2 linked regions of the Drosophila melanogaster genome follow. The protein of the gene in region 1 interacts with the protein of each later gene in a pairwise test. Each region holds a gene or a part of one and is shown on either strand. Other genes may lie near its edges.

Evidence for each region.
Region 2: the proteins of E(spl)mgamma-HLH (region 1) and ase interact in a two-hybrid assay, tested with the Drosophila melanogaster proteins (one study listed by BioGRID).

Annotation. Positions count from the first base shown.
Region 1 is NT_033777.3:25,993,336-26,010,164, forward strand, and holds E(spl)mgamma-HLH (enhancer of split mgamma, helix-loop-helix), read left to right. Parts: upstream 1-6,515; 5' UTR 6,516-6,607; coding exon 6,608-7,225; 3' UTR 7,226-7,426; downstream 7,427-16,829. Other genes in the region: Nf1 (neurofibromin 1), read left to right, coding at 1-149, 330-451; CG43116 (uncharacterized protein), read right to left, coding at 2,839-3,196, 3,418-3,557; E(spl)mdelta-HLH (enhancer of split mdelta, helix-loop-helix), read left to right, coding at 4,397-4,918; E(spl)mbeta-HLH (enhancer of split mbeta, helix-loop-helix), read right to left, coding at 11,971-12,558. UniProt on the Drosophila melanogaster protein: Transcriptional repressor of genes that require a bHLH protein for their transcription. May serve as a transcriptional regulator of the Achaete-scute complex (AS-C) genes. Contributes to the neural-epidermal lineage decision during early neurogenesis.
Region 2 is NC_004354.4:453,401-470,418, forward strand, and holds ase (asense), read left to right. Parts: upstream 1-7,346; 5' UTR 7,347-7,555; coding exon 7,556-9,016; 3' UTR 9,017-9,776; downstream 9,777-17,018. Other genes in the region: Cyp4g1 (cytochrome P450 4g1), read right to left, coding at 14,158-15,828. UniProt on the Drosophila melanogaster protein: Involved in the determination of the neuronal precursors of optic lobes in the central nervous system.

The sequences.
Region 1 (16,829 bases):
GTCCTCGGAGCTGTTTGTCAACTGTTTGGAGGCCATGGTTGAGACCTGTTTGCCAGGCGACGAATCCGCGCCGGTGCCACCATCTCCGCGTCCATACAACCTGAGCTCCAGTCTGAGTAGCCTGACCCTGGGATCACCCACGGATAAAGGTTAGTATCCTGTAGATTTATCTTTAGCTTTTGCCCAAGCTATACCGTAATGCATTCATTGCTTTAATCTATAGCGTTTATTTTTCAATAGCAAGACCCATTGAATGAACACAGATTTTTACAAACAGTATTTACTCAAACTTAACCTTTTCTTTATATCACACCAATTGCGATATATAGCATTCTCATCGGAATCATTAGATTTTTATGACAATTGCCCAGGCAGCGTCAGCAGCCTGCGACGCGCCTCACACAGCAAATCACGCGCCAAACATCGAATTAACGACAGTCCATCACATTGAACGTTCCACAAGTAAAATACGAAAATATTCAAACTGCAACTTAAGACAACATAAGAATAGCTGAAAACAATGCAACAAAATAACACCATGATTGGGAAACATATGTATTTCGTAGTTATATAAGCTTTGCCAAATGGAATTATTGTCCCAACACTCCAAACGATTTCACTTTTGTAATATCGAACACAATATCCAATATGCAAATTGTTAATCTCAAAAAAAAAAAAAATCCAATGAATTTACACTAGATAATGCACCTTATCCTACACGCATTAGCAAATTGATGTTGAAGATTTGAGAATTATATTGATGATAAATCTGGTACCTTGAAGCATTTACAACATATTTTCGACATAATGTAGGTGAATTGAAAGCACCTTTTGTAGCGTAGAGTAGTGTTGTCATAAATATTTGTTGTTCAAAAATTAAAACACACAGTCAAAAAAAAAATAATTCACGATAGCTAAATTAAAACAAAGACCCAAAATATATTTCTGATAAATGCATGCCAAGAGTATATAAAACTAATGCAAGTTAAAATAGCTGAGAACCTTTAGTTATCGGTAGCTGCTAATTTAGCTAAAAACAATTACTAGGCACAGAAAATACATCAAGATTTTATATATTTTCATTGACAACTATATTTTATACGAGCCAATAGATAATTGAAGTAAGTCTAAGTAAATTGAATAATCTTCACTGCTTCTTTGCCCCAAATATCCTTTCGCCCCAATTTGTTCTTCCCTCGATATGTTTATGCAAGTTTTGTCTTACTTTCAGCTGCATGAATAACAACTACAAACCCGCGCACTAGACGTACCACACTTATCGCAAAAGTAATGCGTTTCCTAAATCTGCTTAAAAAGTGCTTTTAGAGAACGTGAAAACCCCCACAGAATGTCGTACAAAATCATAGAATATTTATATATATATGTATGTATGTATGTATAGAATGTCCAGAAGCGATGACCACTGAATGCGAAAGAAGGAAATGAACGCGTGTATTGATGTATGTAAACAGAATGTATATATTTGTATGTGTAGAAGGGAGTGGATCGAGGATACTATAAGCACCGTAGAAGAAGATATCGAATGGAAATATTTTTAAACGATTACCGATTGTACATTTTAATGCTTGCAACCCACAACTGCAACTAGGCACACCAAGTCCACCAGTTCCTCAAAGGATGACCGCGACCAGGCGAAACGGAGTTAACCATGAAAGCGATTAAAGGCAAAATCAAACGAAACGAATACAAGAACAAGAATAACTTAAAGCTTTAAGAAGACGGCATGTTGCACATGTCGTTTGCATTACTTTGTATTATAGATGAATCTCCCCGCAGCAAATGTATCTGATGGCATTTATTTTTTTTTTTTATTCTATATAATTTTACTTTTAAACCAAGTTCACCTCTCTCATTAGTCCTTACTAATTTATTTCATCAGCACATTTTCCAAGAAATTTCCGAAACACCAAAAACTAATCGATAATAAGCTTAAAACGACCCAGTCCGCTTTAAATATAATTTAGTTTTAAGCACAACAAAGATTTTAATCGAAATAGAAATGATAAGCGAAATGAATCGAACCAAAATAAAAACTTACGAACGTTACACATTTGTACCTCTTATTAAACAATAAACGAAGCAAATTAGTCCGTTACACTTACTTTCTAGCACATGGATTTTAAACTGTATTTGGCGTTATCCGCATTAAACAAGAACATTTTTTTAAACTAGATGCGCAAAAATGGAACTGGATTCTATACATTATTATTAATCTAAATGTATATGTGTGTGTTGCTATATGTGTATTAAACGAATATGTATCTTTGTAAATTACAGCCACTTGAAGATATTTATGAAATGTTAATGTCCCAAATTTATCAATGTACAACAATATCGAACAAATGAATATACTTTCAATTAAAATGTTTATTGAGTATCGGAACGATTCTTTTATTGGGAAAGATTAAAATTCGGAACGATTCTTAATTTTTGTTTTATGATCCTTGATCCTCCTCTTCTACTTTCAAAAGTAGGATGATTCATCATTGTCAACAGATTGAAATCTCTCTCTTAAAATCTTTCCCTCATGGAAATTGGCGCAATTGAAATCCCTGTTTTTGCATATGGCTGTCTTCCTTAAGTCGTCCCAATACCCATATCAAAACATTGCCACTCTGATGATCTCAGAAACCTCCCCCACGAAGAAAACTGGAAACGAAATGTACGAAATCAGTGCCATCAGATGTCAGCAAATGTCGCCGGTGCCTTGCTGCACTGTTTGTTAACTTCTCGATTTCATGGCTGCGATTGCAGCGACCCCTGGTCTTGGATTTGAACTGGAACTCACCCTCGGGCAGGTGGATTTCGTCAATGGCCCTATCCCCGAATACCCAATCTCGCAAAATGCGCCAAACAAGTGTCACAGCTGACCGAGGCCGAGGAACCGGGCAACCGGCAGCAGAAGTGCGGCACAATCCCAATACTTGTGGGAATGTCTCCAGTACACTTTCTCACGATGCACATGCACCGACCGACCCATCGCAGCACCGGCTGTTTGCCGCTTGCCTGGGTGGTGCTATGCTGCCGTCCCGTTGGTGGTGGTGGTTGTTGCGGTGGTTGCTGCTGCTGCTTCTGCTGCTGATGATGGTGCTCCGTGCCCGTAAGTGTAACGCAATGTCGCGCCAAAGAGGAAATGAGGTCTGTGTGACTGTGCGCCAAAAGGGAAGAGGCCACACTGCAAGAAAATTCGAACTCTAAACTAGCAACTTATAAAGATGGCTTATAAAGACTTCGGGATTGCATTGCTTTTAAAGCAAAGTAATGCAAATTATAGTTTAGTTACAGAATTTAATATATTATTTATGCACATTTTGCATATTTCTGAATATTATATTTCAGTTTACAAAACAACATTTTTTCCAGTGCACCTGCACGCATACAAGCAGAAACCCACACCCATATGCAACAATGGCATTGCCTCGACAAGATTGGCTCTTTGGCTTAAGTGAGGACGGCACGCATGGGGCTCGGCTCTCTTTTCTCGAGGGAAGTGGGAACCAGGGAGCACGGATGGCTGCCAGGCAGGTCGAGGTCATGTCGCTGCTGATGTCGTGTGTGCGTGTGGTGCGCTGCTGGTGGTGGTGGTTGATTGCTCCGACTCTTTCCTCCTGCTCTTCCTCGGAGACCCTTCTTCAGACTGTTGCGCCGGCGCACGGCAACAGCACGAGGAAGAGAGACGCCCGAAGAGAGCGCGCTACTAGCTCGGGCGAAGATCCGAAGAACGTGTTATTGGACCCTAGTCAATACACTGAAAATAACTTTAAGGCATTCTACTATTATGACCAAGGTTAAAGAAGCTTTGATTAAAAATAAATTAATTTCTAAATATATAAAAGTTTCTAAAGTACAATAAAACTATTTTTTCTTTGTTTATACTTATCGTTGTAAGATACTTTAGATGCATGAGAAACTTTGGTTTCCAGAATGGACATCCAAAGAGTATGCTTCGAAACTTGTATATTTTAAAAGTAGTTTATATAAAGTATAGATTTTAAAAATTGTTCTCTGCCACATATGGATTGTTTTCAGTGCAAGAAGAGAGCCTCAGCGGCTTCCGCCCGATCCAATTTTTTTGATGTTGCACACGTGCAACGCCGAGGGAATCTTGCCACAAGCAGAGAGTGACCCGATTGATGCTTCGTTGTGATCGTCGGCGTGTAGGAGCGTTGTGATCGCAGTGCGTGGTGGCAGTTAGGGGAGGATTTCGATTTCGCAAGTGTACGGCACCAGCAGCTACAAAAAGGATCAGCTTACCTTGCGGCAAGATCATTTCTCAAGTGACTACCGTGCAGTGCGGAGCGGCAGCAGCGACATCGCAACATCGCAACTTTATTTACAAACAATCACCACACCAAATCAAAACCCATTATACACAATGGCCGTTCAGGGTCAGAGATTTATGACCAAGACTCAGCATTACCGCAAGGTGACCAAACCCCTCCTGGAGCGCAAAAGACGCGCCCGGATGAACCTGTATCTGGACGAACTCAAGGATCTCATCGTGGACACCATGGATGCGCAGGGCGAACAGGTCAGCAAGCTGGAGAAAGCTGACATCTTAGAGCTCACCGTCAACTATCTGAAAGCGCAACAGCAGCAGCGAGTGGCCAATCCTCAATCCCCACCACCCGACCAAGTTAACCTGGACAAATTTCGGGCCGGATACACCCAGGCTGCCTACGAGGTCTCGCACATATTCTCTACGGTTCCCGGCTTGGATCTCAAATTCGGCACCCACCTGATGAAGCAATTGGGTCACCAGCTCAAGGACATGAAACAGGAAGAAGAAATCATCGATATGGCCGAAGAACCAGTTAATCTAGCCGACCAAAAACGTTCAAAGTCTCCGCGAGAAGAGGATATTCATCATGGCGAAGAAGTCTGGCGCCCCTGGTGAAGGGCATTCCATATATACGCAACCAATTAACATTGATAGCTTTACTACTCAGTTTCATTAAGAAACAATCCAAGTTTTCCAAGGTCTAGTGTAAACATTTGCCTCAGAATCGTATTTAGTTGGTAGTTGATTTGATATGATGTGATGTTCCTGTGATAGTTCTTAAGTTCGTATTTTGTATTTGATCTCCCATAGGCTTACTGATTCATGTATTTAATTCATTGTAATTTATTTCATCAACTTTGCAAGAGCTTCCCCACCGAGCTTCCACTTAGCCTCATTAAGAACAAATTTTTGTGTATGTTTTAAAATTATATTTTTCGCTTTACACCATTAAGTATAAGCCATGAACATTTGAATAATAAAATGAACGTAAACTGAAATTTTAAAAGCTTTATATTATTTGGAATATGAACATAAACAAGGTTGCTATAATCCATAGGTACATAGGTACAAAATGTTATAATATATATAATTATTATATTATAATTATAATTTATAAGCTCTTATTTAGCTTTCTTCGATATAAAAGATATATCAGATATATTTAAATATATTTCTAAAATCTAATTTGAAATATATAGAAAATATATATTTTCCTTGGAATTTTAATAATTTATAATTCTAAATACCAAATACCGTTATACTGTCCACTTGAATTCAAGTCAATTGAACTCTCCCCACTCCGTTTACAAATCCCTGTAATGCACCACCCATCCAACCATCCATCCATTACAAAGGTCCTGGAACGCGAGCAACTTACAGCCGAAAGTGTGTCCACAGCGAGCCACACGCGAGCAGCGCTCCAGGATCAGCATCGCTGGCCCCTTTTACATGGCGGATGGAGGGAGAGGCAGAGGTCCTGCCGGGTCGGGGGGATCGGGAAGTCGTACACGCATTAAGCGCACTCGACGCACACGAGCAATGTTCCCACAGGATCATAACAGCCGACCAACAAGTGCAGGATGCCTCTGTCCTTGTCCCTTCCTCTGCCACCAAACACGAACCCGATCCAATTTGGAATGCCAACGGTAAACAGGAAGTTGTCGAGGAATCGCAACGCCTCGTCCTTATCCTTATCCCCATCCCCCGGCGGAGGTCCCCGCTATCGTGGGAACCCCGGAGGACCCCGATGAGATGGCATAATGCAAGCAGTTCATTATCCTTATGCCCCTCACCCTGCCATGCCATAGTCAAATCATAACACACAAATCTAGAAACGGCAGCTGTTCGCTCTGCAAATTCCCATGCCCATGGCCGTGGCCATGCTCGGCTGCTTTTTGCGGGCAGGTGAGCGAGTCGATGTGAGAAACCGAGTAGGAAAGTGTTTCCCACGATCCTGGCAGCGATCCTGCTCCCTGGCCCGTTTGATAAGGGTGCCGGGGCCAACAATAAGAAATCGCCCGAACAATAAGGAGCGGTCTCAAGAAGCGGAAGGGTCGGTACCGAGCAACCCTCATGCCAGCACACGAAGCGTGTCCCCGTCCCTTTTGCTCCTCGAATGCCAGCACACACGACGACGACGACGATCCCTTTGGCCCATTTTTTGGGGGTTGTTTCTGGCCAGCTATATAAGGCCGATCACCGAAGGTCTAGCAACACACAACGACTTCGACTGTCGGAGCAGCAAGAGCTCAAAGAACTCAGCTTACATCGAAACTACAAAAAGAACAATAAGAAACACACAAAATGTCGTCGCTACAAATGTCCGAGATGTCCAAGACCTATCAGTACCGCAAGGTGATGAAGCCCATGCTGGAGAGGAAGCGTCGTGCCAGAATCAACAAGTGCCTGGACGAGCTAAAGGATCTTATGGTTGCCACCTTGGAGTCCGAGGGCGAGCACGTCACCCGTTTGGAGAAAGCCGATATCCTGGAACTTACCGTCACCCATTTGCAAAAGATGAAGCAGCAGCGTCAGCACAAGCGGGCTTCCGGCGATGAGAGCTTGACTCCGGCGGAGGGCTTCCGTTCCGGCTACATCCATGCCGTCAATGAGGTCTCCCGTTCACTCTCCCAGCTGCCCGGCATGAATGTCAGCCTAGGCACTCAGCTAATGACCCACCTGGGACAGCGCCTCAATCAGATCCAGCCAGCAGAAAAGGAAGTCTTGCCGGTGACCGCTCCACTCTCCGTGCACATCGCCAATCGGGATGCCTACTCCGTGCCCATTTCGCCAATCTCCAGCTACGCCGGCAGTCCCAACTCCAATACCAGTTCGACCAGCCATTCCCTGTTGACCACCATCGATGTGACCAAGATGGAGGACGACAGCGAGGACGAGGAGAACGTCTGGCGTCCCTGGTAGATAGGATTACTTCACACCACAACTGAAAAAAAAAAAAACGAAGGAGAGATCATAGAAAGTAAAAGTCTTCCGAGTCACTGGATTTCCACCAGTCGACTCCCACCTAGTTATAAGTAAACACCATAAACACACAAAGCTTTAGATGAGGACGCGCAGTTCATGTGATAACTAAATAAATAATAAATTATATAGCTAAAATTGAAAGATCACGACTTTTTCTGCCACTATCTAGTGACTCACATGCAAATTGCTCAGACACTCCCATGTCCAGACAGTTTCCAATTGTCTGCGGTCTAGAACGGAAACGCTAGAAACGCAATAGCACCTCTCTCTGTCCCCTGTAACTATTCGATCGCCCCACGGATGCACATACACGATCGTCGGACAAAAGAAAGCGAAAACAATGCCAAGGCCGAAACAAGAAGAATTAGGCAGAAGAACGAGAGAAGAAAGAAGTCCAAAGTCCAAAGCCGGGGCTACCGATACCGGGACATAGCCTATAGGCCAGTTGGTGGTTGCAACTCCAACACGTGTGCGGACAATAAGCGAAGGTAACAGAAAATATTAGAGTCTTATCTTTGAGCGTATCTAATCGAGTTACGACAATGTCGCTCAGACTTAGAAGAAAACAAATGGGCATAGAGCCGGCAAGGAACCCGAAAAAAAAACCGAAAACCAAAAAAGGGATCGAGTCATCATTCATCCCGCATCCGTCCTGATTTCGCTTTGTTCTCCTCAATTTTTTGTTGCCGTGATTCTCCCTGGCCACTCGGATAGAAAATCGTGTGCACAATGGTCAAGGTAAGCTATGGGCACATAATTGCTTCGGATCAGGTAAATGACTGCCTTGCCCTAGGGCAACTTTAAGATGGAGGAGCTCCAGCCGGGGACAGGATATCGGTTTTTTTGTTGTTTCTTTTTTATGGGCTCTGCCCGAGCCTTTTTTGATTTTCGTTTTTTTTTTCTGATCTGGCTGACCCAGCATCATTTGGTTATCTGTGTGCCAAGACCAGTAGCCGATTCACAGACGCCTCTGTCTTAAAAATCGACGCAGGGCAGATCGAGGGAATAGTCAACGAGATCGGTATCAGGATTGGCTTGGGACTAGTCTGTGCTGGCGGGGTGTAATAAATTTAAAAAGGAACTAAATTTATAGAGATTTTTCAGCTGATTAAAATTCTGTTAACTTGCTAAAGCCGAAAGTAGATTATCTTTAAGAAGATCTTCTTCACAACAGCCCTAAGTGTTTATACTTAATTTTACATTTCCGTCCTTTTTGTTTTCTTGTGTGCCAGCAATTATTTATGGAAATTAATAAGATTTATAGCTTATGGTTACTAGCTTATAAATAACTAAAAAAAAACGTTTATAATTTTTTAAATTGTTTAAATCCTTCTGAGATATCCTTTGTAGATAATACGCTAAAAATATTTGTATTTCACTTGCAAATTCTGTGTAATCTTAAACCCTATAATGTACTGAACAAGATCATTTCCTTCAATGTTTGGATGTCACTTCCACCCTGGGATAACATAAAGTGTAATAATGGACACTCCTTAAGAGCCATGTTAAATTATAGCTCACTTTCGATCCTAGGCCATTCCTGGATGATCCGATCAAGGCGACACAACTATGGACTCGACAATAAGAGGACCAACACCAATCCAAACCAAACCAAGCAAGCCCAGTTGTCATACCATACAATGGGCAATAAGAAAAAGTCGGTTATAGGGACATGCGGAGGAATCGCACCCAAAATGCCAAAAGGAAATGCTGGCACAAAAGATACTTAATCTTATAGGTAAACCCGATGAATGATGAACGAATGGCGGCGACGTAACCGAACCCCCGATACAGCAATCCGGCAATCCGGCGATCGAGCTCGAACGCAAGCCCAAGTCATTAAAAACTACAATACACAAACTGCATACGAATCACTCGAAGACCGAGGCCCAAAGAAAGGGTCTTATTTTTTAGGTAGGGGAAGGGACTGAAGACTGAAGACCGGGGACCGTGGCCAGAAAAAAAAAACTAAATATCAGAAGCGAAGATCGTGAGAAAATGGTTTGGAACGTGGTTCTCACACGATCGACACACCTGCCCTTTTTTGTATGTGTGTGTGTGTGTCTGGCTGGGCCACCACTCAATGCGTGTGTGTGTGTGTACTTTTACGAATTCAAGATACAAGACCACTTACGGGCAAGATCACGACCGACTCGAGCTGCGGCTATATGGCTATGGATCGACATGAAAGAGAAAAGCAGCGTGCGGTAAGTGTGTCTCAGTCGCAGACTCAGCTCAGCTTCAGCTTCAGCTTCGACTTTTGTGCATTGGCCAACATTGTAATGACTGTGGACACACGATCGTTAAGAGCGCGCCGTGTGATCTGTGAAGGAAAAGGGGTACGAGGTGTTTCAGGGGCTACAACTATGGGTTCGGGGTTCGGCGCATGCGTCGCTGTTTTGTTGAACGAACTCAATTTAGTTGGTTTATGACCAAAAAGCGAGAGCGAGCGGGATGCACGAGGAGATCGGTTATGGTGATCGGAGTGGGAGATGCTCGTTGGGGAGTATGGGAGTTGGGGAGTTGAGGAGTTGGTCGTCGGAGCATTGGAGCGCTGGAGAGGCACCCAACCACACTTATATGGTGTGCTATTGACTCTGTAATATCTTTAATATGGGATGTTGTTACACTACATTGGCACACGCTCTTGCTGCCACTGGACAAGCTGCCCACAGGTTGTGTTTGTATGGGATCGTATGGGGAATGGGTTTGGATATGGGTATGGGAATGGGAATGGGAATGGGAGTGGATGAAGATCGAGGCACGAGTGCCGACTCCATCCCAGTCCCATCCTCCAGCCTCCATGCACAGCCCATTGCCAGGCCGGTTTGCCGCCGCCTCTCTTTTATTAAGTGGTGGTCTTGCGCTTACTTTAATATGGCTGCATTAAACCTTAGCGGCGTGCGGAGTATTATGACTGAAGTAGGTGGCCGGACCCGCGGTGCCTGCGATTGGGGGTCCACCGACACACAGAGGTCACGTGATGGATGACGTGTGGGCTCTACTGTACCTCCTGTCACAAGATACGAAGTGGGTTGGGTGAGGTCGAAAACATGGAATGGGATCATTCAATAATTGCAACCTTTGGTGAAATCTTCAAAAATTATTGCAATCGTTATATGCTGTTTAATAATAGCTATTTGCAAGCTACAGTGTAGAATTTACGAAATATTCTAGTTATGAGCAAACCAATTTTGAGTCATCATTGGCTTTTGTTCCTGAGTTAATCAGGTATTAGATAGATATGGAAATGATACCCACTCTGAAGTCAGCAAACATCACATTTAATAACCTCTTATGAATGACGCACGTTTCGGCAATAAATGAAAACCAAAGCCGACAAGCTGAATGGGAACCCCTCTAGATCAGTTTCGCCAACGAAGCCATCCAATTAGCCCCCGGCAATGGCCAACATTGCGGCACTTAGTCAATCTTGGAGTGAACTGATCGCCTTTCAACTGGTCCATCGCAAAATAGATCACCCATTTTCAGCAGACTACCGTTGAGCCCTATAAATAGCCGTTTTGTAGTCCACAACAAAAAAAAGCACAAAATAAGCGGAGAAGCGCTAACTTGGCCGTCTCGATGCCAATGTTACGTGACTAATAACATTTTCTGAAGATTAACAGCAATCAGCGACGGCTTGAACGGTCCCAGACTCGAGACGACCTGGTAAGTAGTCATCATCATAGTTGTCCGCCAGACAAAGGCGCTGAATCCGAGGTTCCGTAATCGAACCGCACTCCGATACACATACCCCATACCCCTACCCCAATCCCAGCCCCTATCCATACCCATACAGTATTGGAGTTTTAAGACTTAAGTGCCGAGACGGTCGCGGTCGCGGGCTTAATTTGCAATGTCTGACCGCCGGTCCGTCCGCGCATGTGCCAAGCGGTCAAGCGCAGTTAAAGCTGTCAAAGCCTGAACAAAAAAAAACTAAAAAAGAGCAAAATCTTAAAAAAAAAGCGAAACACAATGACCACAATGCTGAGCCATTGACAGCGGAGCCGCGGTTCTCACACTCGGCGGGCCTCATAATAAATGCCGTTTCCTAGAACTGACTTTTTGCTTTATTTTATTATTTAATTGCGACAGCGCCGGCGCAAAACTTCCCGCAGATATACGTATGTATGTTGTATGCCCCCTGAAAGCCCCGCATACCCTCGCAATCCGAATTCTCGGGGCATAATGAGGCCAAGCCGGAGAGACCAGACGATAGTCCGAGTGTGGGAAAATATTCAGCGACTTCCGGCTGTGGGCTCTGCGATTCGGTTCACCACGGAGTTTATCTCCAATTCGTTTCTTGTTTTAAGGGGTTTCTTTTTTTTAGTTGCTTTAGTTTGCGGTTGGACGCCCACTAAATGTCTGGGAAGTCTGAGTAATCAGCTCTATGGGAAATAAGTAAATGCAGAGATTCTTGAGTTGGAATTTCATTTATTTTCATTTCTTTATGACTTTAAGAAGTGAGCAGCAGCCATCTCTATAGCCGAAATTTGAGGCTCTGCTAGAGATGATCGGTGGCTCTGCTGGGCTGCTGGGAAAGCTATTCCTGGGCAGCAATTGATGATCTCCAAGGAGTTCGGTGCGGTTTCAAGTCCAGCACCTCTTTGGGGCAACAAATTTGTAGAAGCCTTCCGCTTGAAGGCGATTCAGGTGAATATCATCCGGAGTCCAGTTGATCACCAGGGACGCCACATGGGGCCAGAGGTGGAGCTGGCCTCGCTGGGCGCCGGGCTGCAGGCTCCGCTCTCCAAGCTGTCGCATTCCGAGGGAGGTGGAGTGACCATAGCTTGATCCTCTACTGGAGCTTGAAGAGGCACTCCAATGGGCAGCGAGGGAACCACCACTTGCAGGTAGTTGAGACGATGGCCAAGGTGACTCATCAGCTGGGTGCCGAGATCCACACTCACTCCGGGTACAGCGGCCAAGGTTTTGGACACTTCATTGGCAGCATGAACGTAGCCAGCACGGAAACTCTCAGCGATGCTAAGCTTGGGATCGGCACTCGGAGACACTCCACCGGTGACGCTGGACAGACGCAGCTGCTTCTGGGCACGCAGCTTCTTCATGTGCTCCACGGTCAGCTCCAGGATGTCGGCCTTCTCCAGCCGGGTGATGTGCTCGCCCTCCTGGGTCAGGCACTCCACCATGATGTCCTTGAGCTCGTCCAGGCACTTGTTAATCCTGGCACGGCGCTTACGCTCCAGCATGGGCTTCATCACCTTGCGGTACTGATAGGTCTTGGACATCTCCATTTCCAGAACCATTTTGTTGTAGTTTGGTTTTGTTTTTTTTTTATTGGGGGTAAAGTAAACTCGCGTAATCCACAGTCGCAACGTTCCACTAGATTCGGACTCGGAGACTCTGTGTGCACGCAACGAAGTCGGAGCTTTGAATGAGTCGGCTGGCTCTGGGATCGGCTTTATATAGCCTCTGCCGCCCTGGGAACTGGACAGTGAGTGCGAGCGGGACACTCATTTTGCCTCGTGCGCGGCCTGCTGCTGTTGCCAGCGGTGGTTTCAGATGGCTTGGTGGTGCTTGGTTGTGGTAGTGGTGGTGGTGGCTTCTGTTTTTTTGTATACTTTTGCCTGTATATGTGAGGGCAATAAAATGACTTGAGCGGGCTGCGCCTTCTCGCTCTCTCTCCCTCCCTCCTTATGTATGTGCTGTGATTGTTATACCGTGGGAAACTGTTTCGCAGCCGATTTCCACGACGACGACGATGACGACGGCTGGCCTGACTTCTTCTGATTGTGCATGCTTGGGGTCTTGTACGATCCCTCGTCCCTCGTCTTTCCGTCCACCGTCTTTCTTGAGCGGACGGACGGATGGACGGGCCGCCTTTAAGAGGTCTGTGCGACTTGGGATCCCAGATACGATGCGAGGCGAGCACATGCCTTCCATCCATAACAAGATGTTTGCATTTCAATTCATTTGTATGGTCGACTATGGTCGGGGTCCGGTCTTTTGGGCTTCAATTCGGTGCGGTTGGGTTCGGTTCGGTTCGGTCTCAAGTCTTGCCATGTGCCTTCACCCTTTTGCAGTAGCTTATGGCACGCTGATAATTGTGGAATCGTCATCGGGCCAACCCGAGACGGGCCAGTGTTTCTGTTTCTTGCTTTTTTGTTAGCGCTTTATGGATCATTGATTGGATCGTGGTAGTCGTGGGTTTCGTGGGACGAGCATTACGCTTTTCGTTTACATGATTATTCTTGATTGTCGGTTGGGGATCGTTTGGGGATCAGCTGCAGTTCGGTTGGGGGTTTTGGGTTCGCTTGGGGATCTTGGGTCGTCGCTCGCTTCTATTTGTAGACAATTACCATAGCGACTTCGGGCTGGGAACCGATCGAAGTCGACGTGTGCGCGAAAGTCGGTTACAATCGTAATGGCTGTTGCCAGCACACGCTATAAATGTTATGGCTCGTGGGCTATACGCGATATATGTATATGTATGTATACACATTTAGCACATTCGGTATTTATTTTTAACGCTATATCGTCGTGATTCATCAGCTTGAGATGCTAGATCTCCATCCGCCGGCATCTGACACATCTCGGATCCTAAGCTCGGGTTTCTCAACATTTAATTAGAAGTGCCGGCGACGATGACGCTCGCTGGCGTTCATTGAAAATGACACGAGCCCGGCTCATTGGCACACAAATAAGGAATAACAAAAGCTCCGAGACGGCAGCTACTCGATCACTATGTGTATATAAATTCAAACTCAAATAAGACAAATTAAGATTGCCCCTCGACGCATTCGAAATGAGCTACAGTTAGCCGAAACAAAGCAGCAACGGTGATAAACGGGCCAAGACACAAACGGCTAACAACTTATCTAACCGAAACGTTTTGTCCGCTGGACCGGGACACTTAAACTGTTGATGTCAAAAAGCTGAATGCTCCGGAAATGCTTAATTGGATTTTATGGGTCGGCAGTGTGTCAAACTGTTCGTCAGAGGGTGGTGGTTGCATTTTTGGGGTGAGTTAGTCGCATGATATTTGCAACAACCAATTAAGAAGTAATTCATATTGGATTATTAAAGAAACAATACTATAAAAAATATGGAAAAAATATTTCAAAAATTTAAAGATTTTTAAAAACAATTTAGCTACAATTGTAGATAACACGTTAAATTAAGAAATATTTTGTAATAACAATATAATCCATTTATATAATCCATTCATTCAACTAGCTTAAATTAAAAGCTAAATAGTATAGGGGCTCCAATTGTAATTCGGAAGTTCCAATTTTCATGTAGTAGCTATAAATGCCTTTAAACGCCACTGAAAGACTTTTCTAGCTTAACAACTGAATCACTGTCGTAACTCGAATCATTAATACCAATTGTAGCAATTAGAGGAAACCCAGTGGACGAGCACGTGCCCCCAATAGAATTCATCGAGTGTGCCCCTATAGCTTGAAATGCAGAAACCTAATCTGCTGCCCATTCCGAAAATATAATATGGAATAATAAGGTAGTTATTTCACAAATTTCATCAGATTCTGCAATGCTCGTTGGGGTGTAGCGCATATGGTCAAGTCGCTTAAGACCAACTGGCCTTTATACACCCAATCATCCAAAGATACAGCTACACATACAAAAAAACATATATCGCGAAGACCTCATTTCTCTCGGTTTATTATTTCTCTTGCTTGCTTTTTTTTAAATTTTGTGCTTCATTTTTTTTTTGTCGATGGCATACGCACGCGCGAATTTCAGTGCCCCCGCGGAGTTGAGCGATCGCCCGAGGGGGTGGAGCGGTAAGGGGCGGGGCACGAGAGCGTGCAAAACTCGGAGATGGAGACCAGAGACCCAGAGCAACAACACCAAGCAGTGTGTATGGCCATAGCGTGTTGTTGAATTAATTTATATCCAACAGTGCGCTTTCAACTTTATTGCGCCGCGAAAAGCAGCCAGCCAAGTCAGCAGTCGTCGGTGGGGCTGCCCCCTCTCAAAAAGCCCCCCGCTTAAGCCCCACTTGAAAGCCCCCCGCAAACCCACAGATACACCACAGCTCACAGATACAACGCACACCAAGGCAACGCCAGACCGTGGGAAACAAACTCGTGCCAGTCGTTTCATTGCTGTCAAATAATATCTTGATGGGGATCAACTTGAAAAGATTGGTTGGGGCTTGGGCCCGAGCTCAGTCCGCCGCTCCGGGTCTCCGTGTCCGTCCCGTTGGCCCTCATTCGCTGGTTGCCGCTGTTTAGGATGCGGTCGACGCTTTTGTGTTTTTTTTTTATTTAGCTTTTCTCATTTTTTTCGTATTTTTCAGATCTCTTTTTTAATGCTTTACACATTTGTTCGTCATAGCCGCGTGTTAAGTATGTGTGTCCATGTCTCTACACTCGATAAAAAGAGTTATGGGTTGTCACTTCAGATCATTCGCTGCAATCCGTAACCATTGTAACCATTAGTAAGTTTGTTATACTATAATTTCTATTGTTGGTCTGCGATAACTTTTTGTTCAGTGCAAATCAGACTTGCACTTTAAATAACTGAACATTTTTGAATATTTTTCATATTTCATTTGAATATTTTTCACAGTGCACGCATGCTGGCATTGGCATCTCTAGTGGTGTATGTAAAGATCCAAAAAGCCACAAACCAGTTTGCCATCCGCCAAAGCCAGTGGACTCTGCTCTGTGGCTGCTGGGATGCCGACACATACTCCGCTTGGAGATCACATAAAAGACCCGGCACACCTCCTACTGCAGCCTCAGACCCCCTCGTGGTTCCCCCAGCTCCTCCCTAACCACCGCCTTGTGAATGGCTCCTCCGCCTGCTTTTATGCACTGTTTGTTGTGTATACACGGTCGGGCACTTGGCACGTTGCCCATTATCTCAAACTCAAACTGGATGTGAAGCTGAGTCTGTGGCTTTTATTTTTTGTAAAGATTTCGAGTGCATATATCATATTACCACCACCAGCAGGCAGAGATGCATCATCATTCCAGGCCTCCGCCAAGTGTAAGCTGTCAATGGCCCCTTGACAGGAGGCTCCCAGATAGTGGATAGGATCCCCCCAAAAGACTCCCACTTTATAGCTTGGATCTTGAGTCTCATTTCATTCGATTTTTCACATAAACAGCTAGTCAACTATTCTTGGCAGGGGGTGCAATCTGTGCGATCCATTAGTGGCACTGATAAAAAGCGAACCATTAAACGGGATCCCCTAGCCAAACAACAAGTCATTAAAACGTATCTCTAAGTACGCGTTCGTATCTCGCCCTCAGCTCGCTTTGCACACACTTTCTCCCTGCGCCTTATCGGGTAATCCCTCTCCCTTGAAACAATATTGAAGAAACCCTCCCTATCGCTCCACACGTTCAGCACACTTGGGCCGCAAGAAAGGGAATTAATTAAAATATCTATAAGATTCCCAGCTCACCCCTGGGGAGTGTTTCCAAATTGAAGACAAGTGGCAAGTCCGTATTTTATTGGTGGTGGTTTCGATGGTGCTAGTGAATAGTGGTAAATGGATTCATCGAGCCCTGTGGGAAAGTTGGAAATCAAAACACCATAACAA
Region 2 (17,018 bases), on another chromosome or scaffold:
GAAAAATGTTACCTTTTGAGACACGCCGACGTTTTGATAAGGACTCTCAAGTGTGGAGTCTCGTCTCTTACTGAGAGACACGCGACATAATACATAAGATATGTATATGTACATTAATACCAAATCGATGGATCGAAAGTGCTGTAATAATTCGACTCAAAAACAAATAGTATTACTTAGCAGGAGAACGAATAAAATTAAGTTAAAATAATTACGGGTCATAAACTAAAATATAAGATAATAAAAAGCTCATTTATGTTTTGTTTTATAAAACTATGGATTTCTATCTTTACCGAAATCTGTACATTAACCAACACCTTTATCAGATCAGAAAACGGGTTAAAAAAATATCCCCTCTGCCTTGTTAGTCCTTTCGCATTGCTTACAAATTTCTCAGAAGGTCTAATCCTGTGAGAAATTGCATAAAAAACCAAACGCGTCAAAATCGCAAAATTCAGTCGAACATCACGAACTGAAATTTTGCAGCTCGAAAAAAGAGGGGAAATTCATTTTCCCAAAACAAACGTGAGAGAATATACAGGACCAAATGAATTCCCAGAAGCTGGGATCCGTGATTATTTTATCCCATTTTTGTGGCTAAAGCCAAGACAATGCAAAAGGACGCAGGAATCGATGATATATCTTATTGACACAGGCTGAGGCACTCTGAATAGCAATAATGCAATATTTGCGCAATATTCCTGAGCTCTGCAACTTTGAAAATGTTGTGGCTGCAGCTCGAAAAAAATTCGCATTGGCTGAACAAAACAGAAGCCCTTTTCGTGAGGAAAATAAACATTATTTCAGACAGAACCGTCTTCCCTACCTTCTTCAAATGGGCTCATCCAAATGTCCTCATCCTGTTATGTTATTAAATTTCTTACAGTGCACTGCAGTCCTTGGATTTGATTCTATGCCTTGTAAAAACACCCAGCATGTGGGCACATTCAACCGGCAGAACCCAGGATTCAGCCAGGCAAAGTCAACACAAACCGAGAAAGGGAAAAGCAAATATCACGAACTATTGGAAATAAGCAAGGACGAACAATGCGGGGGGAACAATTTTAATTGATCAGAAATACAAACAAGTGCAAAAAAATCACGCAACAATGCCAGAAAGAAGTTTTTTGAATGGCCAAGCATGCCATTGTTTGCTTGGGGCGTTTGTCCTGTTCCTTTTCATGTTTTGGGTAAACATTGATTCTTCGATTCGAATGTCCAAAGAACAGGGGAGTGATTTGATTTCAGGACCAGTGGATTCATAAAAAGACAAGAGCTCTAGTACCGAAATTAAATTCCATGAAATTGCCAAAGAAAAGGAGTTTTCTGATTAATCTTTTGGAAATAAAGGACTGCGAAATACACAAAAAACATCAAATGCATTTACACTTCTTGGAAAGCAACTAGATATTCTATTTGCGAAGAAACAATTTGTCAACTTGTTCTGCCTAGATATATTCTTTAATATATAGGTTTGCGTACATTTTTTAATTTGACATCTTTTTATAAGCTCTTGTAACTAAGAAATTTTAAAAATTGTTGGCCTGGAAGGCTTATTTATAAACATTATATTATATTATTATAAGCAGCAGCTGGCAAGAACTATGTTTTCGGTAATCTTATCAAAAGACTCATATTTTTCCCCTAGAAACGAATGTCGGTCACAAGTGTCTTATCAGCGGGGAGTTTTTTGGGCCACAGGCTGCAGTGCAGTCGTTGAACATCCGTAGAGTCCTTGTGTGCCGCATGCCAAAAGTGCCGTACCAACGTACCCAATGGTTGATGTCGACAGAATTTAAATTACTAGCTTCGGCGGACTTCAATCGCTGTGTAATCTTGAGCTGAAATTTACTTTTGACGCATTTCGAGCAGCAGCAGACAAGTCCCACTTAAAGGATCACTCGAGTGCATTTAAATCCTCGTCGGAGCCAGATCCTTTCGGCTCTGCCTAACCGCAACTTACCGACCAAAATCAATAGTTTGAAAAAATGCGGAATTAAGGCAAAAGAACTCAACGGTGCGTAAATTTTTCTATTTGCCAATTTGCCTGATAGCAATTGAATGAGTTTATAAGTAGGCAATCAACGCTGAAAACAAATCACGAAAAAAGGAATCAACGAGACATCACAAGAAACCTAATCATTAGTATAGCATAGTAGTCGAAAAGGGGTTACACATAATAGAAACAGAAAAAAATCGTCCTTCTTTGTTGCGAAAACTGCAATTCAACTTCATGAATTGCAAAAGTAGGTTAAAGCGGTTCTGCAAAGGAAAGATATGGCTAAATTCCCTGGTCTACTATTATCCGACTCAACAAATCTTAAGCAGTATTTTTTAAGTGCTGTAGGCTTTTCATATCACAAAGCAGAAAAGATCTTTAAGAATTTGATCAATAAATTGCCCTTAGAAAATAAACATTTTACAGAACTTCATAATATAAATCTCTTAGACTCATTTTAATCCTTTCAGGTTTTTTCTTCGGCTACGACAGCATCCAATACAGCTTCCTTATTACAATGGTTCAAGTATTCAAAAAATTGTTTTCATATTTAAGCAACCAAAGTAGTAGTAGAGTAGAAGTAAAAACCTCCTAGAACTTTTACCATATACCAATCCGGGGTGGGGTCCGACCCAGAGTCACCGCCTATCCAACTAGATGGTACAAAGGCGGGACGCAACCAGTTCAGCAGACACCTGCGACTGGCACGGCTTTAAGCCTTAAAAACTGGCAGCGCGTGCGGTCAGCGGGCTTGCAAGTTGAAGGGGTTGTTAAAATGGTACAGGATCGTGAATTTCAATAAGGTAAAGGGGTCGAGGGGATCGAAGGAACTGAAGACACGCGCTCAGAAATATGTCTGTAAAGCCCGAGTGGGCAAGGTTATTTTTTTTCACAAATTAAAGAATGTCGTTCGTAGGGCGTAGATAACTCGTGAGCTGTTTAATAAAAATTGTACAAATTGTATTTTTTCTAGTTAGTGTGGCTAATAATGTATACTCTCGCATGATATTTTTAGTCAGAATTACGTTAAGTGCATGTATATCCGATCATCGTTTTAGGGAAGTGTGTGAAGAGTGAATTTTGACAAATTTGCATTGCCGCCGGCTTTGAATCCTTTATAAAAAACCGTTGCGCATGCGCATCCCACTGCCCCGCCACCGCCCTCTTTCACCAACGCCAACAGGTTTCTGAACAATGACTTCCACCCTCCCGGCATTTAATTTAATCGGCTACTCAAATATAATTTTTATTTCACTCCCGATTGTTCACAAAAATAAATGTGCTCATTGTTGCCGTGTTTGTAGAAAATTTCGTAACCAGTTGCAATCCTGTTGCTCCCGATTCTCGAGGATTCACCCTCGAACATAAATCATCGGGCTGCACAACAACCCATATGAAAGTGCAAGGATGCTTTTACGTCGTCCTGGGGTCACGTTGTCATCACATATATATGAAGTGAAAAATAGTTTAGGACTACATAGTTTTTAAAACTATGTAAGAGGTGTACGGATCGAGAGAACTACACAAATTCAAGCCCATATGGATTGATTCACGAGTTCCACCCACAGGCTGAATTGCCGATTTTCAGGCAGCTTTTGCTGTTGGTCGAAAGTTACCAGCGATCCCTAACGCAAACACCCCTAATCCTGCCGGAACTTAATGCCCAGGACCTTCCTGTTGGCATTGTTTGCTGGCACAGGGGTTGCTCTAAAGGGAGCGAGACAGCAAGCGTAGAAAGAGATCTGAGTTCAATCGCAGAGCAGAAGAGACGAAGGGCAGAGCTGTTGAACGATTGCTGTGCAGCAGGAGCAGATGTTTTTCGCGGCAGAATGACGATGCAGGATCGCTGGCGATCAGCGACCCCAGCACGGGACACGATACATACGGAATATACGGAGCTCTATGTATATGAACATAACAAAGGGCATTAGAGCGGGAAGGGGCTAACGACAGGGAGCCAGAGCAAATGCGAGGGAGATCCACAAAACTTGTTTTTGGGATAAACTCAAATTAGACCAAGAAATCATTTAACGTGCAATAGAAATTTCGAGGTATGTACGAAAATGTAATGTTAAAAGGCCTGCCTTAGCTATAAAATATTTTCTCATTTTTAACGTATGCTTAAATGAACATACACCGCACATATGTACATATACTCTTAGCTTTTCCACTGTGTATTGCCTAAATTATAGTCCTCCCTTATGTACCCTTAAGCCTCGAGCGAAATATGTCCAGATTTGATCAGGATCGATACCGGATAAGATAGAAACAGCACCTAGCTCAAAAGAGAGGGGAGCAGTAGGGGAAGAGAGTAAGCGAGAAAGGAGATGAGAAAGGAAAAATGAGAAGCCAGGTGAGGGTGAGGATAATTTATTATTGCTCGGATACCCCCGAAAGCGCGCCAAAGGTCCCCGATACCCTAAAATCCAAAGACCATGCGTTTGGTCGAAGTGTCCCCGACACACAGAGAAAACTATACAACACGTACGCACTCTTCGACTGTTTAAAAATGGATTAATATAAGATGGTGTCCTTAGTTAATATAATAAATATATTACAAAAATATAAGTGTTTAAAAAATTTGAATAATGCTTGTAATATTAGATATCACTATAAAAGAAGAAAAGACGTGCCAATCCGGCTACAAAAAAAGATCCATTACAAGAACACGACGACGGAATGCGTATTTATTTCTTGCATGATTCACCACATTTATTTCAAGATGGTTTTTTTCTGTGTAGGATCTCAGGTAGAAGACACACAGACACTCACTCACATTTATGTAGAGCACAAGGCACGTGCGCGATCTGAAAACAATTTACCACTCCGATCAGCGTGAATTGTGAGTTTCACTTTAAAGTCGAATGCAGTTTTTAAATAGAAACTCGCTATTTCCCCATGTATTGTTTAAAAGAGGTATTAAAACAGCCCGCACCCGCTCATTTTTGCTGCAAGGACGGGACACAGTTTGCCGCTAAATAAATAGCAGAAATGATTCGGGAGTAACTCTTTTCCTTAATTTTTTGGCTAATTTTATTTAGTTTATAGTTAGAAAGAGTTACATATCTGTACACCGGTCACTTGTAACTCGTTCACGATCCGATGGGGGGAATATGTAATAATTAGAAGGCATCGTCACAAACATTTCCTTAAACAATGTCCCAAAAATGGTGTTCACCCGTAGAGCGAGTCCTTTTGTGTAGTTCTCGGCTGGGGTCCTTTCACTTTTCCCCCAGTGCTTGACTCCAAAGTTATTTCAAGGACTTCCACGGAAAGACTTCCGTTCCATCAAGTTTTCAACACTCATAACTCGAAAGACGAAATAATAATATGAAAAAACAAGAAGCGGTAAAACAATTTATGAACGAACAACTGTGCACAGATGCTAAATGATGAAGCATCCTAAAGGATCCACTTGAGTCAACGACGAGTACACACAGAATATGGGCCCAGGACATATTCACCCGGCGCCTTTCTCCGGTTACAAAATGGAAAAAGAAGAGGGAACTTAAATTTTGGAAAATCAAAGCGACTTGCATGCGTTGGCAGATTGATTTACGATTTTGGAGGGTCAAGCCAAATAGAACGACTTCAGGTTTCAGTAAATCATGGAGGATCCAGTATGTTTCCACGCTAGCGTCAATTCCGTTTACTCATCTGTTTCATTACCATTTGGCGTTTCTCTCGTCGAAAGATATTTTCCCATTGAAATCAATGCGTTTTTAAAATGCAAATAAACCAGAAACCAGAAACCATTCATAAATTGTATTTGCCTAGATTGGAACATTTCGATCCGCCAAAGATAACAGCCAAAAAAATATATAAAAAAAAGAGTGACAGGACTACAACGCAGGTTCTTAATTTTACGAACGTGGGAGTAAATTCGAAAAGGTATGCCGCGTCTTGGGGCAAAACTTTTTTGAAACCGTTTACATGTAATATTTTTGGAATCGCTACTTTTATGTATGGTTAATTTAATTATGAACTATTTTCTTGCAGTGCACGAAAGGCGTGGCTGGGGCAAGGAACAGTTCCTTGAGATGAGTGCTGCGATGCGTCGTCAAAGTGGGACGCAACCGAGTCAAATCCTCTAGGACAACAAAGGACGCCGAGCAGTACTTCCCAGTACTCAAATACTCCTCAGTACGCACAAGCGTTGACTCCTTTTTCTTTGAGAGCTCGTCTGCATAATGAGGAATGAGGACGTGGCATCCTGGATCAAAAACCGGTAGTCGGTCGTCGCAAGTTTCTTCTCCCCGCCGGTTATCCTGCGCTCAAGTCCTTTTCCTTGAACCTTTTAAGTGAACTCAAGTTTATAAATTGTGCAGCAAGTACAACACACACACATATGTATACTCCTCTATTTACTCAGGTTTGTTGGAAACTACCTGAGAGGAAGGATCAAAAAAGTTTATTGTAGCACTCGAAAACTTGTTTGCACAGATAGACCTAAGCTCCAAAAAAAAGAATAGATTATAGAAATAAAGCACTGGTAAAATTATTTTCCCACCGGACTAATTGCCAGAAATTTTTTGCCAGACGTAGAAAAAACAAGAATGTAGAGAAGGATGGGTGATTTCTCACCCCTTAAAGGATTTAAATTGGCTCTCTGGCATCTTGTCAATTTCCAACATAAATTGTAGCCCTGTGAATTACCTAAGACATTACTTTCGCAGTATATACTTGCTGTTTATTAGCTTAACAATAGGAAAATGTTTTTGCCAATGCAAGTCCTGGTAAATATATGTATATATTATCCAGTACGAGTTTTTGAAAAGTTAACAATAGGTGATCCCGAGACATTTTTCGAATGAAGTAGAAACCAGTCCTTGGTTTTAGCTATAAGCTAAAAATAAAGATTCGATGCATTTCTGCGTTTTACATGACGAATATTGGAGGTCTAAGGTGATCTATTAGGATATTTTGCAAATTCCTAGGTGGTAGGGCATTCCTTGAAAACCAGGGCTGAAAAAGCTCCCCAGGGAATATACTTTTTATTATATGCATACGTATATGGTTATTATAATGTCCATATATTAATAGGGGCGGTATATAAGCATAATGTGTTTGCTGCCGATAAATAATGAGAGAGAGCGTGGCGAAATCCACCCTTGAACCAGGTGGACTTTTTGGCTCGAGTTGATCAGATGTTAGTTTTCCCAAAAGCCGTACTGTATATAATATATATATATGATAAAGGTGTATGTGTGAGCGATCGAGAAGGGACACCCAGTCTAGGGGATGAAAAGTCAGGCCCTTTACATAAGGGATACGCAGGACCTCAAATGCCTTCTGTTTTGTATGTGTGTGCTCTGTGTTGTGTATGTCAGTCAACGAAGTCACTTCCGTTGGGTTTGCGTTTTAGTTTGAGTTCGGAGTTTAGGGGCACGCGACACAGAGCGCCAGCAGCTGTCCTGATGCAAGGACACGGAAACCATATTACATCAGTCACCAGTTAACATTCACTCAAGAAGGACTAACTTGCTAAAAGTACACCCGCAATCGCCACCAGTTTTTCTCCCGCCCTCAAAAAGCCACGAATCAAAAAACTTAATTATGGCCGCCTTAAGCTTCAGCCCATCACCTCCTCCAAAAGAAAACCCCAAGGAAAACCCCAATCCAGGAATAAAAACCACGTTGAAACCTTTTGGAAAGATTACCGTTCACAATGTTTTAAGTGAGAGTGGCGCCAACGCCTTGCAACAGCATATAGCCAATCAGAACACCATTATTCGAAAGATCCGGGACTTTGGCATGCTGGGCGCTGTTCAAAGTGCCGCAGCCAGCACAACTAACACCACACCCATATCCAGTCAACGGAAGAGGCCCCTGGGAGAATCCCAAAAGCAGAACCGGCACAACCAGCAGAATCAACAGCTTAGTAAAACATCAGTGCCTGCTAAAAAATGCAAGACCAACAAGAAGTTGGCGGTTGAAAGGCCCCCAAAAGCAGGAACTATAAGCCACCCTCATAAAAGCCAAAGCGATCAGAGTTTTGGGACTCCTGGAAGAAAGGGTTTGCCTTTGCCACAAGCCGTTGCCCGTAGAAACGCTAGGGAAAGAAATCGCGTGAAGCAGGTTAACAATGGATTTGCTTTACTCCGGGAGAAGATCCCAGAAGAAGTATCTGAGGCTTTTGAGGCCCAGGGGGCGGGTAGAGGAGCAAGCAAGAAGCTATCCAAAGTGGAGACCCTCCGCATGGCCGTAGAGTACATAAGAAGTTTGGAAAAACTGCTGGGATTTGATTTTCCACCTCTCAACAGTCAGGGGAATAGTTCTGGTTCCGGCGATGATAGCTTTATGTTTATTAAGGACGAATTCGATTGTCTGGATGAACATTTCGACGACTCGCTGAGCAACTACGAAATGGATGAGCAACAGACTGTCCAACAAACTTTATCCGAGGATATGCTAAACCCTCCGCAAGCCAGTGATCTCCTGCCTAGTTTGACTACATTAAATGGGTTGCAATACATCAGAATACCAGGAACCAACACCTACCAACTGCTGACGACTGACTTATTGGGCGATTTGAGTCACGAGCAAAAACTTGAAGAAACAGCTGCTTCGGGCCAGTTATCGCGATCGCCCGTGCCACAAAAGGTGGTAAGAAGTCCCTGCTCTTCTCCAGTTTCACCTGTCGCCTCGACTGAATTGCTGTTACAGACACAGACGTGTGCCACACCGCTGCAACAGCAAGTAATCAAACAGGAATACGTCAGTACCAACATTAGCAGCAGCAGCAACGCACAGACTTCCCCGCAGCAGCAGCAGCAAGTTCAGAACCTGGGATCGTCGCCTATTTTACCCGCGTTCTACGACCAGGAGCCCGTGAGCTTCTACGACAACGTAGTCCTTCCCGGATTCAAGAAGGAATTCAGCGATATTTTGCAGCAAGATCAGCCCAACAATACAACCGCTGGCTGCCTTTCGGACGAGAGCATGATCGATGCCATTGACTGGTGGGAGGCACATGCACCTAAATCTAATGGTGCATGCACCAATCTGTCCGTTTAGCCGAATTTTTTCACATCACGCATCTCGGAAAAGCCGATTGCATTTTTTGGCATACTTTTTAAATGATTTTAAATCCTCACAGCATAAGTCTGTGGCAGGCCATTCTATCTAAAGTTTTTTTTAATCAAGCCATGACTGAGTCATTGTGTAAATATCAATTTAAGCCGAGAAAGGAGGATAACTTCGGCCAGCCGAAGCTTATATACCTTTGCTGTTAAAACCATGTATTTAATATGAAAGTTCGCACAATTTCGATGAAGTTTATCACAAATTTACGATTTCATCAAGATTTGTATATTCTCCAAATTCTATAAAATATATGTACATTTTTGATTCTTGCTATGGTACTTGTACGTATGATATTGTTGATCGATCCTGCCCGAGTCACCTTTTATATCACCAGACATGCCGATCATGAATATTTATTGATGTGGGGTCGGAAATGCCTCACTGCTACCTTCAGACATATTATAATATCCTCTGAAAGAGTGTGACAAAATGAATGTATGAACACTACATATTTAAAGTCATCTAGTGATATAAACCAAATGGAAATAACCTTGTAAGACCCAACCACAAAATAGTTATCCTGATAAACGGCTTAATGTTGAGCCGGACTAACAGAGTGTCTAGTATATAACAAAAATTAATGTATTTGTGTAACCATATTTTTTTTTTATAGATTTAATTGTAGGAACGTTAAAATGACAAGCAGATAATATATGCTTTTGAATAAATGCAAATAAATATGAACATTTCCAAAAACTTAATTTGTTTCTTGTGGTTTTATTTCTCAACGAAAATTAGGTATATTAAATGACAATTTATAATTTGTACCACATTTTAGAAAAAAAGGTGTTTTATATTTTAGAGAGTGTCTTATGGCACAGTATATCTCCGGTGCTTTATTGACTCGATATTCAAAATGGGGTTCCTTCTGTGACAGAATGACAGAATTCGGATTTTTTTCTAGCGGTTCTTTTTTAAACATGTGCCTTGATTCATAATGACACAAGTAATTAAAAACGCACCAAAATAAATATTAGGGAAATTGAGAGAAAGCGGTTTTAGGGTGAACTATTATTTAGGACCTAACCGGCAACCGCAAATCAAACGAATTGCTTTTAAAAATAGAGTCTAGTCTGTCTGTCCTCATAGAAGTCAAGAAGTGAAAAGCCAAAACAGCTTGAAATTCCAATAGCGGCTACAAACTTGAAGTTGTTTTAAAACCTTGTCATGCTCACCACACAGACCCTCATTAACATTTGGAAAATATTTTCAATGATATTTAAGGGAATGGTAATATATTTTTTTATACAAAGTTGCCAAGCCTTCACGCACGTCTTTTATTTTGCACGATATTTACTCACCCTCACTTTTACTTGGCGCTATACTCTCCTGCCAATTGTGCTCAGGACTTCATTGTCCTGTGCTTACGTGTTCTCATGTCTCTCTACCCGTCCCTTTTTTTGGGACATCTGCCCAAATAAAACAAAACGGAAGAAAAACCAAAAAAAAAAAAAAATAAGAAAGGGCCGGTCCAATGGATATGGATGATGCAAAACTACATAAGACAGGCATACTGTAAGGAAAATCAATTGAAATCGTTTTCCATTAAGAATAGATGGCCTGTGCCAAATGATATTCGCATCTGCAGGATCCGAAAACCAAAGAAATCTAAGTAGTACACTGAGGAAACAACACGATCTATTTTGAGGTCGAAATTACAAGGCGAGGCATTTTTTCCTCCATTACTATTTTTTTTTTTTCGCTGTGTATATGTATGTGTTGGCGCGCTCCTGAGCGCCTGAGATCGCCTGCAACCCCCTTTTTCAACAGTTTTCAGTTTTTCCATCCAGGTGCAAAGGTGTTTTCCTATCATTCTTTTTTTGGTCGTGTGGTGGGTGCGCCGTTCACCGTTAGCAGTGAAAATTGTTCACGCACCGTTATAATTATTAAATATTGGTAATGCGACACGCCCCTCAACCGTACACCTCCGAGTTTGGGTCGAATTTCGCATTTTTACTGTTTGAACTGGGAAATCATTGCCGTTATGTGCGTCTTTTTGTTGTTTGTGTTTTTGGTGAATGTTAAAGGCTTAGCACCGATAAGGAATATGAGCCCTATCGTATCCTTCGATCGGCAGATTTGCTTTCGTAGCTCTGGGTGCTGCAGTCGCTTTAAGTTGTGCCCCCATTATGCCATTTAGACCACGCCTCTATGAATGCATTATTACTGAATGCCGTCTGTTTTTAAGTTCACTTTAGCGTGTGCGCATGCTCTTGCCGCTGACTTGATTGGATTCACCCCTACTTCTCTGATCCACTGACTATCCAATTTCTGGGCACATTGCACTGCAGTTATCCCGGGAACCAGATGCTGCCTTTGACCCGCCGAATCCGAGTTGGCTCGATGGATCTCGTAATTGAGATAGGTGACACGAAAAAAAAAATAATTTCTTCGAATTTTAAATCTTTAATAATTTTTGGAAAACCATGTCATCTAGCAATCATTACCTTCGCTTATTGTATATTCAAAGAAAACGGTAATGGTTTTGAGGTCTGATCCGCTGATCCCCAGTAACCAGTTGGCAAGGTTATATTTTCATTCAAGGATTTCATCCTTCCGTTTCATTCAGCATTGGACCAAAGAGAGACTTCTCTGGCAAATAGTATTCGTAATACTGTGTCTTCCGAAACTAACTGCCGGTCAAGCCGAGCTACTTAGACTTAAGCAGATACTTATACTCGACGGCTTTCAGTTTTTCTAAGTCCTTAAGTGGACGTACTTCAACCCACAATGAAGCACTTAAGTGTGCGCTCCGCGCTCAAAAACCCTAAGCGGGTCAAGAAACCAAGTCAAAAAAATAACTCTGGACAACCGTTAAAACCCAAAGCGGGTTAACACTTTCTAGTACCTCCTGCGGTTCGCCTAAGCCCTCTCCCATAATTTTCCCTACTTTCTACTTCAACCATTGATGATCTGCGAATTGCTAAACAGATCTGAGCCAATTCCATTCCATTTTATTTCCACATCTATACACATATTTCGAAATTTTTAACCACCATCAATTTTCGTTAATTGAGCCCCAAGCAAGATGCTTAAGGATAACACATGTGACTTTCGTCGTCCAGTTTTAGAAGCAATAAGCGAGACTGCTCCCTAGGTCTGGTTGCACATGTTTTCCAGGACATATTTCTAATGTCACTGAATCCACGTCGGCCTCATACCCTGTCGTCCTAGGACTATATTCCCATGTTTTGACTTACGCACCCAGGGTGGCCACTGGGATTATTCTAAGTATGAAGTACAGTATCGGCATTGAGTCACCAGGCTCAATTGTATGACAGACACAATTTTTACTCCCGCTCACTCCAGGGAGCGGTATTTTGTCAGTTTTGCATTGATTGAGATGTCCTGGTATGCAGCTCCTCGTTTAATAGTTCTTTGTTTGGCCTTACCTTCTCTTGACTATAAATGAAGTTGTGTTGGGGAAGCAATACAAGGCCACACATTCCATCCCAAACATATCCCTTTAGAAAATGGCTTTCAGTACTCAACTTCGTTTGATTGCAATGACCACCCATTACGGAATTTCTAAAGAGACTATAAAAAATCATTTTTACCGTTTTTTAAACTATCAACGAGAAATGCCAAGGAATGGCAAGGCAAAATCAAACTGTGTCAGTCTCAAATGGTAAAATATCAAAACTTTAGGTACACGTGCGAGTTTAAAACCGGCGGTCATCAAAGTATATCCTGGAGTGTCACGCATGAAGGACATAGACCACAATCTGATATCCAGTTAGCGTGTTTGAGGAATTCCGCCATAAAAAATAGAACGAATGTGCACAAACTTCCGGATGCCCAAAGACATTGGATTGGGTTGCAGATCCGCAGGTAGTGCCGCTATTTGCCTAGCGCAAAAAGGACAATGACCAAACAGAATTTTGGTTTTCGGGACCTGCTTCATGCCCCTTTTTATGTCTGCCGAAGATGCTAAAGAAGGGTTCATAATTCAAATGCAGCAAGGCAGGAAATACGGAAGAAACCGAAAGGATTTCCGTTTCGGCTCGTTACGTTTTGTAAATTGATATTCGGCAATCGATTGCCTAAAAAAGGGAAAGCCGGCTTCTAACGGCGGAATTCAGCTAATCACAAGAAGAGAAGGCTAACGAATTTCCGATACACCTCCTTTTCATTGACCGCGAAACCCGCGATAAACTGCTACCGATTCCGACACAATAGCATTCGCATTTGTCAGCATCGCAATCTGCATCCGATTAATCGCATTACAAATCGCCCATCGAATGAGGTGTCGACTTAAGATCAGTATAATGCTAACAAATATGAACAGGTACCCAAAATGCGAGCGAAATAAAGTAAAACAGAAAATACCTTGCCAAGGACAGCGGCCTGAATCAATATTATGACATTGCCAGCAGTTTGCAAACCGTCGATTGCCTCGCATTAGCGCATTAACTTGTTGATTGGAAAACCGCAGAATCATAAGCCAAGTCGACTTGTTCACTTGGTTTGTCTATCTGCATTCAAATTTCTTATAGTTTGGCATGTTAGCCAAGTTCGTAGAAACTACGACCGCCCAGAAGGAGAACATTACAAGATGTGCAATTACAATTGTTTTGCAGCTCTATCGGCTACGTGCCTCGCATACGTGTATTTTTCATATTTTTTGGGTTTCGTTTAAACCATTTGACTTAATAAATACTAGAATAAAGAAAAAAAATCACACTACATGGCTACGAAAAAAAAGTATAGATAGTGGTAAAAGTAGGAGTACTAAAAAGGTGAAGAGCACAAACAGTTGCGTTGAATAGTTGGTTAAAAGGATATATAGTATATACGTATACATTATATAGGGGCACCACTCGCTAAAGACCAACAAACAAAAAGGTATTAATCAAATATAAAAGTAACGAGTTAAAAAACGAAAGAAAAATTAATTGACTCTCTGGCTGGCTTGTGCGTTGGGTTCTTATTCGGTGTTTTAGATTTATAAGTTCGTCATCAAGTTTTCGGTTTGGGATATTCATCGGTATTCATCATCTATATACAGGGCTGGATTCCGGTTTCGGGTTCGGGGTTGCGTGTGTGTAGTCGGGGTCCTAGATTTCTGGATTCTAGGCCACCGTGGCGTACTGACGCTTCTCCAACGAGACATTGAATCCATTCTCAAGCTTTAGGATGATGTCAGCCTGCAGCTTGAAATCTGCCTCCGTGTCGGTGGAGTGGACAATATAGTTCCTCACGATGGTGGATAGCAGGACCTTTAGCTTCAGCATGGCGTACTTGCGGCCCACACAGCTTCTGGGTCCAGCGCTAAAGGGAATGAAGGAGTAGTAATGCCTGTTGGCCATCCTCTCGGGTAGGAAGTTGTCCGGATCGAATTTGGTGGGATTGGGGTAGATGTCTGGACGTCTGTGCACGCAGTACTGCAGCACGATGACCGTAGTGCCCTTGGGAACCGTGTACGGACCACTGGCCAACTTCAGGTCGTAGTCCAGACGCCTGGCGATAAGTGGTACTGGTGGGTACAACCTCAAAGTCTCTAAAATTACGCGCTCCAAATATTTCATCTCCATGGTATCGGCAAAGGTGCAATCCCTCAGCATATTATCCCCGAAGATGGCCTTCTGTTCGGCGAAGACTTTAGCCTGGATGTCCTTGTGGATTCCCATCATGCAGAGGGCGAAACTAGATCCCGCCGAGGTGGTATCGTGGCCCTCAAACATAATTGTATTCACCTCATCCATGATGTCCTTCTCGTTCCACTCGATATCGGGGTTCTTAGCCATTTCCACCATGGCATCTAGAAGAGCCAATCGCCTCTTGGCGCCCACATCATTTTCATCGATATCATCCAGATCATCGCGAAGACCCTCCTTCTTGGAAGCGGGAGTGCTGGCAACAGGTGTAGAAATCTCCTCAACAATCGCACGTGACTCCTCTTGGAAGTTCTCCTTACGATCCTTGACCACCTTGCTGGTCATACCCAAGATGATGTTCATCATGCGATCGCCCTTCTCGCGAAGCTTAGTAAACTTGTAGATGGAATCCAGGCGGTACAGTAATTTAACCTGCCTCTTATGTATGATATCACACATGTCGACGACGGCTTGGGCGTATTCGAAACTCTTGTTACCCTCCGGAAGCTTCTTCACACCCATGGCGGTAGACAACAGGATGTCAACCGTGGTCTGCGACATATAGTCATGAACATCAAAGGATTTGCCCGCTTCTAAGCCCATCCTGGCAACTACCGCCTTTGAGTGATCCACAAATGTAGGCACGAAGCTCTTCAAGATGCTCTGGTGGAAGGTGGGGGCAATCATCTTACGATGATGACGCCAATGATGTCCATTGCTGATCAGTAGACCATCACCGAACCAGGGCTTGAAGTAGCGATACTCCTCCGCCTTGGTCAAGTGCTGGTGCCCACTCAGGATCAACTCGATGTCACTGGGATTGGTTAGAAACACCAACAGGACGTTGCCCAACCAGGCCTTCATGGTTTCTCCGTACTTGTTGAGGTAACCCAAGCCAACGGCCAGGATCTCGGCATTGCTCAAGCCGGCGGCCACATGAGCCTGTCCCAAAATAGGCAACTCCGGTGGGGATGGTATATTGGCAACCATGCGGTATTCCCGGCTATTCCTGCGCCAATACTCGTACAATGCCATGGCCACCAGGGTGCCCACTAAGGTGGTTAACATAGGACTGAATCCCAGGACCGTCGTCGACGAACTGGACGCCGCTTGTTGCAGCGTCTCCTGAACTACTTCCACTGCCATGGTTGCTGTTGCTTCTTTGCTCCTGATCCCTGGTCCTCTGGTGCAAATCCTTTTTGTCTTCTGAAGATGGCACTGTTGCTATATCAGCCGCCAGTGCTCAACTGTGAATCGCCATTGACCACATGCAACATTTTATATGGTTCCAAGAGTTCTGGGGCCACTGGTTGAAGTCAAGCATATGCCACTTTGATTTCCAGTCCCACTAATTAGCAAAGCAAATCAAAGTCACGTACTCGCTTGCGGTGATACCTTTGGAACCAATGCCTGCACTGCGTCATTGTAGATCCGTATAAGCAGACATGACTGCATTTCGAAGTCCGTGGTTGTCTTTGATTTTACGTTTGGTATAGTATATTAATTAAAATCCTTTCGTGGTTCCATTTTAAAAACATAAACATTGAATCCTAGTATTAGGAAACATTATTTGCACTAAATAATAAAACATTTATAACACTATTTGAGTTCCTCCATTGGACGTCAGTTCGTTTAAACACCTCAACAGCGTAAAATTCTTTTAACGAACTTTTTAGTTCCGTAGTTCTAAAAATAGCTATTTTTTGCGAAATTTGCGACACATTTGAATGAAAAGTGAATGTGTCTACTGTCTCTTTCACCAACCCTACTTCTTGCGGATGTACGTTTGATGCCAGGATCTAGAATATGCAAACCAGCCATTGGCTGTTCGGCTACCTGTATTTTACGGCATTTACCTGCTGGTGAGCGGAAGTGGGTGATTCTTGCCTCGCTTCCTGACATTTTAATGATATTCCTTTGTTTTGCTTTCGCTTTTTATTAAATTTGGTTTCGGCGCTTTTGTCCTCGACACCTGAGCAAAAGTATGCAAAAGGAAATATCGAGTGAGTAAACAAGAGAGTATGTAAGCCACAGACAAAGAAAAGGAAGCTGTCTCTTTTGTGGACCTCGTCCGCAACATCCTCCAGCTCCTCCATCGTTATCCGATTGTTTTTATAAGTGATTCTTATTACCATTTATTTTTATGGCATTTTGATTATTTGAGCGCGTGCGCAAGGCATAGTAATTAAACATATAACATTTAACGTTATACTCATAGGTCTATGTTTATAGGAAATCCTATTAGTAATAGTTTGCAATGATTAAGGTTATGGATGTTGAAATGATAAGCAATTTATTGAAAATAAGTTGCCTATAGCTTACCTGAGATTCTAATT